Elephas maximus indicus: one gene and its partner. The protein of the gene in region 1 purifies or fractionates together with the protein of each later gene. This does not show direct contact. Links are inferred from orthologs where the notes say so. Each region holds a gene or a part of one and is shown in the gene's direction. Other genes may lie near its edges.

What was found. Proteins that work in one complex are often made in the same cells at the same time.
Region 2: the proteins of SNRNP70 (region 1) and ARGLU1 purify together in Homo sapiens (affinity purification with mass spectrometry; 3 studies listed by BioGRID and IntAct, with this or other methods). This does not show direct contact. The link is inferred for Elephas maximus indicus from reciprocal best matches to the Homo sapiens genes SNRNP70 and ARGLU1.

Annotation. Positions count from the first base shown.
Region 1 is NC_064829.1:99,444,323-99,447,922, forward strand, and holds the start of SNRNP70 (U1 small nuclear ribonucleoprotein 70 kDa), read left to right. Parts: upstream 1-951; 5' UTR 952-1,164; intron 1,165-1,909; 5' UTR 1,910-1,919; coding exon 1,920-2,066; intron 2,067-3,600. UniProt on the Homo sapiens protein: Component of the spliceosomal U1 snRNP, which is essential for recognition of the pre-mRNA 5' splice-site and the subsequent assembly of the spliceosome. SNRNP70 binds to the loop I region of U1-snRNA.
Region 2 is NC_064841.1:72,269,487-72,273,308, reverse strand, and holds the start of ARGLU1 (arginine and glutamate-rich protein 1), read left to right. Parts: upstream 1-1,399; 5' UTR 1,400-1,626; coding exon 1,627-1,973; intron 1,974-3,822. UniProt on the Homo sapiens protein: Dual function regulator of gene expression; regulator of transcription and modulator of alternative splicing. General coactivator of nuclear receptor-induced gene expression, including genes activated by the glucocorticoid receptor NR3C1.

The DNA of each region.
Region 1 (3,600 bases):
TTAACTCATTACAAGTCTAAAAGGCCCTAAAATAACATGACTTCCTGCCTAACATGTGGTTCCTGACATCTGGTCTCAACTCAGGGCCTTTTCCACCAGAACACCAGATGCCTTAGAGTAGATTCTCACTCATGGAGACCGCATGTGTGTCAGAGTACGACGGTGCTCCATGGGGTTTTCAACGGCATATCTTTTAGAAACAGATCAACAAGGCTTTTCTCTGAGGCTTCTCTGGGTGAATTTGAACAGCCAACCTTTAGGTTAGCAGCTGAGTGTGTTAACTGGTTGCCCTACCCAGGGTTTCCCCAGGGCCTTCGCACTGACTGTTAACCCCGCCCAGACCACTGTTCAATCGGGGCCTTTGTTCAAATATCTCTTCCTAGAGGGCTTCCATTATCATCTTTTTGAAAACAGTCTCGTTCTTACTCTTCCCATCCCCTTACTCTGCTCCATTTTCTTCATTGTGCCAACCACTACCTGAAATTATAATTAATTTAAATCACTTTATTGTCTTCCCCAGTAGAACGTAAGATCCACGAGGGAAAAGACTGCTTTAGTCACATGCTATTGTTTCCAGCACGCACTAAGTACTCGACATTACCCATCCACCTAACCACTATCAACGAAGGGACTCTTTGCCAGTCGGCGCAGGGGTACAGGCAGCACATCTCACTACGCACGCGCGCAAACCCGGGAAGTGTGCTAGGGGGAGGGGGCGAAGTATCAGGGGCAGAATCTCGCGGACAGAGGCGGTTGGAGTGGCGAGCCCGAGGGGGTGGTGGCAGGTGCAAAGCGCGTGCGCAGTGCGGATACCAGGCGGTAGCGGCAAAAGGAATTTAAGGCGCTCGAAGGCGGGGCAGTCACCCCGCGCAGGCGCCTTGCCCGCGGCGGAACCCGTGCCATGTGTGCGTTGTTCGCCCGTCGTAAGGCGCGTGCGCAGTGAGGCCGGCGGAGGGATCTGCGCGGGTCCCACCCCCTATTCCCGTCGCGAGCTGAGGCCGCGCGGGTTTGTGAGCAGCGGCCTGGTGCGCGCGCTGGGCCCGCCAGAGAAGCACACGGACGCCGACGCCGCCGAAGTCTAAGCTACAGCAGGAGTCTCTGTTGCTGAGGGGCCGCCGCGAGCCCCCGGACCAACGCCAGGCCGAGGAGGGCGCCGCGCGGCTGGTGAGTGTGACTGGCCTCACCGGGAACGGGATCGCTACCCACAAGCCCCTGCGTTGGGCCCCGGCCCCTCTCCTCGCGGCCGGGCCCTCTCCCCGCGCACCCACCACAGCAATATTCTTATCTGCGACCCTTACCCAGGGTGCCTTGAGCACTCAGGCCCTCGTCCCACAGCCCCCCGCGGTCCAGTACCCACAGGCCCTTGCGGTGTATTGCCTTTTTTCTTGTCTCTTCGCGGCGTCTCGGACCATTACCCACAATTCCTTTCCCCTTTTGGGTTGGGGGGCTTAGACCTATTACCCCCAAGCCTTTGTCTTGAGGGGTTAGCTATTTAAGATCCTCTGACCCCTTCATCGGTGACTTCGACCCTCGCCCCATAAAGCGTTCCCCATCTTACGTGGGACCTCCAGGAGCACGGCTCTGGGACTCAGGATCCTTGATTGTCTCCCCAACCCCCCAGGGACCCTTTCAGCCCCACAGTTCTTTGCTCACGACTCAGTCTTCTGTACTCAGAAACGCTTTATAGTCTTTGTTTTCCTCGTAGGCCTTTCTTCCCCCTAAACCTTCAAGACTTTGCTTTCTCTTTTAGGTTTATCCCTTTTGCGTGTGACATAGGGTCACTCTGCCCTTACAGAGCCTGTTTTAACATTGAGAGCTCGCTCCTGTTTCTCTCTTTCTTGAGAGTCAGGGGGTTTTAGGGGATTCATCCTAGCCAGCCTACCCTAATTGGTTCTGGTTTTGCCTTCAGACTTGGCAAGATGACCCAGTTCCTTCCGCCCAACCTTCTGGCCCTGTTTGCCCCCCGGGACCCCATCCCATACCTGCCACCCCTGGAGAAACTGCCACATGAAAAACACCATAATCAACCTTACTGTGGCATTGCGCCCTACATCCGAGAATTTGAGGTGAGTGCACTGAGTGGACGAAGAGCGGGTTGGGTTTTGGAGTCCAATCTTGGGCTGTTTTCTTGTTGCATGATTTAGGCAGGTGATTTATTCTTTGACTCTTAGTTTCTCTGTTTTAAATGGGATTGATAATGTATCTGTTGTAGGGTTTTTCTAAAGGAACCCTGGTGGTGTAACGGTTAAGTGCTCAGCTGCTATCTGAAAGGTTGATGGTTCCAATCCTCGCAGCAGTTCTGTGAGAGAAAGACCTGGCAATCTGCCTTCCTAGAGATTACAGTCTAGGAAACCCTATGGGGCAGCTCTCTGTCACACAGGGTAGCTGTGAGTCGAAAATTTATTTGCTGGCTTCTAAAGAGGATTATTCTGAGAATTTAGCAAGTAGCAGATTAGGATTCACGTCCTAGAGTCAGGTAGAACTTGACATCAACTGTGTGACTTTCAGCAAGTGGTATATCCTTTTAATGGCTTGATCTCTTCATCTTTACTAAGGTAGTATGTTCTCATGAGATTGATGCGGATTTAAACATCAAGATTTATGTGACAGATTTTGGCACCCATCAGTGAAAGACCATGCTATCATATTTATCGTTTTTAATTATTGATAAGGTGATGTTCAAATAGGGTCTTCACGGTGTACTAGAGTACTCAAAGCCATAGGCTCGGGATTTCAGCTGTGCCTTTGCAGGGTAACCATGAAAGCATAAGTTTCTGGCTCTCAGGTTTTTCATTTGTAAAATTGAGATAACAGCACCCACCTCCTGAGGTCCATCAAGTGCACTTGAGAAATGCTGGCACACAACCAGAAGTCCTAGAGAAAACTTGTGGCATCAGGTGGTTGGGCAGTGGATTCTTCTCCCTGTAGGGGAGGGGTGGCAGGAGTTGCAGAGCAGAGGTTAGCAGCAAGGAAAGAGTAGACGGTTAAGTCTTTAGTACTATTTGCCACCCTCAGTGAACTTCGCTACCCTCAGTGAACAGTACTTTGGAAATGTAACTAGCCAATTAAACTAATTGAATGGGTGCAAGCCTGTGGCACCCTTTGCTGATGGGAGTTGTGTGCTTGTTCCTATTTAATGAGTGGTTGGTGAGACCCCCCCCCAGATGATTTGAATTATCTGTTTCTGAGCACTGCATGGTCTGCTCCTTTTGTTTGAGGCCTGGCCCCAGTTCCCCTGCTCTCATGAGGAAGGGCCTTCCCATCAGCCCACAGGGTGTTCTGTGGCCCTCTGCTCACTACAGAACGGTATTTGGGGATTGTGAGAAGCAGGTCATTCTCTAAAAAGGGAAGATTAGAGCCTTTGATAATCTGTTCTTTGGTTAGATGTTTCTGTACCAGTGCTGCTCAAACTGTCTTTCGTGGTGAAGGACACATTTTTTTTTTTAGGATTTTCAATCTATTGCTGATTGATACTTCTGGTAAATATGTTAGATTTAGTTTCATTTTTCTGGTAATTTATTGTATGAAATATATATGTAATAAAATATTTGCTCTCCCAACTCTTCTGACACGTGTAATTTGGCGACATTAATTATATGC
Region 2 (3,822 bases), on another chromosome or scaffold:
TTCTATTTGAATGTATCTGATTATTTTCCTAATATCTTGGTGTTTGTTTCATTTTAATTTTTGATAGGGCAAACACTATTGTTCTCTTTCAAGGTTTTCTCGGTAATTCCCAGCTATGTGACTTCCATATAAGATTTTAAAAGTATCTAGTTCTAACCTACACAGCCCCAGGTGAATTTGGAATTCTGATGGGAATTGCATTAATTTTGTAATTTGACTTCAGAAGAACTGGCATGTATTTTGATATTGACTTCCTATTCAAAAATATGGTATATGTTTTCCATTTATTCAGGTCTGGTTTCTGCCTTCCAACAAAGGTTTAAGGATTTCACCATTAAGATTTTGTAACTTTTAAAAATTATTACTACATATTTTACAGGTTTTATTTCTTTGGTGGAGAAAATCTTTTTATTTCATTTTTAATAGGTAATTGCATATTCAAAGGAAAATTGCTCATTTTTTAATTTGTCTAGCTATCTAGAACTCAGTTTTAAAATTCAGGCACATGGATTTTCAAGGTGTCCTATCATCCGTAAATAATAATTTTGCCTTTTCTAATTGGGACTCAACAGTGACACATTTATTGTAAAATCCAGAAACTTGCTTAACCTTGGCTAGGGCTTCTTTTTTTTTTTAGGGCTTGGGGTGGGGGTGGTTGGCTTACTGGTTATGCGTTTACCTCAGTACACATCCCCACTTACTAGCCTCGGGGACCGTTGTACGAATTAAACACTAGTTGATAAACGCAAAACATTTAGTACAGTGCCCTGGCAGGCACATTAAACCCTCCATTAAGCATCAGCATTCGTTTATGAAAACCCGCTGAATACATACCGCCCTCAGTCTCACAACCACTTTAGGAAATGTGGTTATCTACAGTCCACGAACAAGGAGACTAAGCTCAGGGAAGCAAGTCATCTGCCCAGGGTCACTCTGATACAATTCAGGGCTGTATGACAAAGCCATCTCCTAGAAAATAACGCAATTAATCAGTTCATACCAAACCCATTGCCTTTGAGTCATTCTGACTCACAGAGACCCTATAGGACAGAGTAGAACCGCCCCATAGGTTTTCGAAAGAGCAGCTGGTGGATTCGAACTGACGACCTTTTAGTTAGCAGCCAAGTTCTTAACCACTGTGCCACCAGGCGAAATTTAATTCACACCAAGGAATGATTTAACTCGCGCCAAAACATGATTAATTCATTCTACAAGAATTTTACCAAAAAACATAAATACGCTAAAGCAAAGATGTGAGTTTCTGAGCGTGGCCTCTTAGGCTTCCGCCAGGACACGCGGAAAGAGCCGAAGGGGCTCGGAAATCCTCGCTGCGTCTTCGGCAACAATCGTCAGGGGGCGGGGCCCGCGCGACGGCACGTTCACGCTGGGCATTGTGGGAAAGGTAGCCGGTGCGGCCACAGCTGCCATTTTAGGGAAGTCTCTCGCTGCGGCCTTCTCGCTTGAGGCGGCCTTCGTGGCGTCCGTCGACCGAAGACGACGGTAAAAAGGCATCTGACCGGTGGCTCTTCTTCCTCGGGGCCCGACAGAACGGTCAGCGCACGCTCGAAGGCTGAGGCGAGCGAAGCCGGGAGCGTTTGGAGGCCGGAGCCAGCGTCGCCTGGAAGGATGGGCCGGTCTCGGAGCCGGAGTTCGTCCCGCTCCAAACACACCAAGAGCAGCAAACACAACAAGAAGCGCAGCCGGTCGCGGTCGCGGTCCCGGGACAAGGAGCGAGTCCGGAAGCGTTCCAAGTCCCGGGAGAGTAAGCGGAACCGGCGGCGGGAGTCGCGGTCCCGCTCGCGCTCCACCAACACGGCCGTGTCTCGGCGCGAGCGGGACCGGGAGCGCGCCTCGTCCCCGCCCGACCGCATCGACATCTTCGGGCGCACGGTCAGCAAGCGGAGCAGCCTGGACGAGAAGCAGAAACGCGAGGAGGAGGAGAAGAAAGCCGAGTTCGAGCGACAGCGAAAAATGTGAGCGCGTGCCGGCGGCGGGGAGGCCGGGGGGCTCCGGGGAGGCCGGGGGGCCCTGGGGGTCGCGGGGGGCCCACGCGGCGGGGCGCGAGCAGGACCGGGCGCCCGGGGAGAGGGCGGTTTTGGCGCGCGAGGCGGCGAGAGCAGGAAGTGGCGGGGGGTGGGGTTCAGCGTGAGGTCGGGGAGCCCCGTCGGCGGGGAAAGGCCGGGGACGGGCCAGCCTCGAGGTGTGGGCGCCGAGCGCCGTGCAGACCCCGCGGGGGGATAGCAGAAAGGAGGTACCGCTCAGCTAGCCGGCGGGAGCTCCGGGCGACCAGCAGCATCCTCACCTGAAAGTTTAAATTTGGGGCAGGACTTAATATGCTGGAAGACAACGCTTTTCTGTGGCCCAACAGTTGGCACACACACACACAGAAAACAACTTTTTACTTTGGTGTATTCGTGTTGTTAAAAAGTGTGGGAGGTTACTCTGCTCTGGCTTACCCGTGGCCCCCCCTGTTTTTTTTTTCTTTTTTTGAGATTTAAAAACAGGGTGTACGAAGCTGAAGTGAGTTTTGACACTTAGTGTCTCCCGCGTAAGCACCATGCCAATCAAAGCACAGCCCTTCTTTTTTTTATTTTGCCTCGTACTTCTCTGTAGCAGGTTTATGTGCAGCCCTGCGTGTTCGTGTCCGCCCTGTTCAGTATGCTTGTTTAAAAGACACTTCAGTATTTGCTTTTAATTTTTGCGTTGCTCTCGACGGCACCTGGTTTTTCATGCATAGAACTAGAATTAGAGTGGCAGTAAGGTTCTCTTGTTTGGGTGTAAAAAAGAAATGTATTTCTAAAAAAGAGTCAACTTTCAAGTATCTGGATGATCCCCAAATAAACCGACTTTTGGTTTTCAAACGCAGGGTTTGGTTTGGCTCTAAACTTTAAGGACATGGTACCGTGATGCTCTGGATATTCATCTCCCAAAAGCCAGACTGAAAAGAAGAGTTAGGCAGATGTGCTAGCTCTCCCAGTTGAACCAGCCAGCCTTGTTGGTTTCTTCAGTGCATTTTTAGAAACTCCTCTTGAGGCCGGGAAGTTAACTGAATTTAGGGTTTTCCTGGAAGGAATTCATGTGTATTGAATTTTGGGGGGGTTTAAATTTTTCTGCAGTGTGATTTGTGTTATGTAGAATTTCCAGCACAACTTGTTTCTAAAAGGAAAAGTATTAAGAAGTGGAGGACTGGAACACAAATAATATAGAAGAATCATTACCCAGCGATATTTTTGCTGACGTTGTATGATTTTAAAACGCGCTCCTCATTCATGTTTGTTGTACTTCGGAGAACTGGCAGTAATGTGTATTTAAACAAGTACACGTAATTGTTTCTCAGTTAACGTTGATTGCAGAATCCAGCTTTTTGGTCTGGAACAAGAAGCTCAAGTGTAAAAATGCAGCTCTCAAATAACTATCAAGAGAAAAACATTTGAAAAATTACCTAACACATCTCTGAGGTAACTTTTCCATGTGGAAACAACAAAGCCCTCCAGCGGATTCTGCTTGTCGCTAGAAAGTGGCGATGTGTAGAAGAGGAAACTTACTATGCAAAGAACAATTAGAAGCGTGTAGCAAGCTACACATGAACAGCAAGAGAAGAAATCCAGGGATGAAATTATGGGAAATAGAACACAATACAGTTAGGGTGGGAGAAGCACATGGTCATTAGCATTCATACCTTGGTGGGGGAAGGGCTAGTAGCCACCTGTAAGGTGAATTTTTTTGTGCCCTTAACATATTCTAATGCCTTGGAATAATTGGGGCAGGGGGAGAACAAGGGAAAAGATAGGCTTTGGAGCCATGGGGATAGGTTGGGGTGAA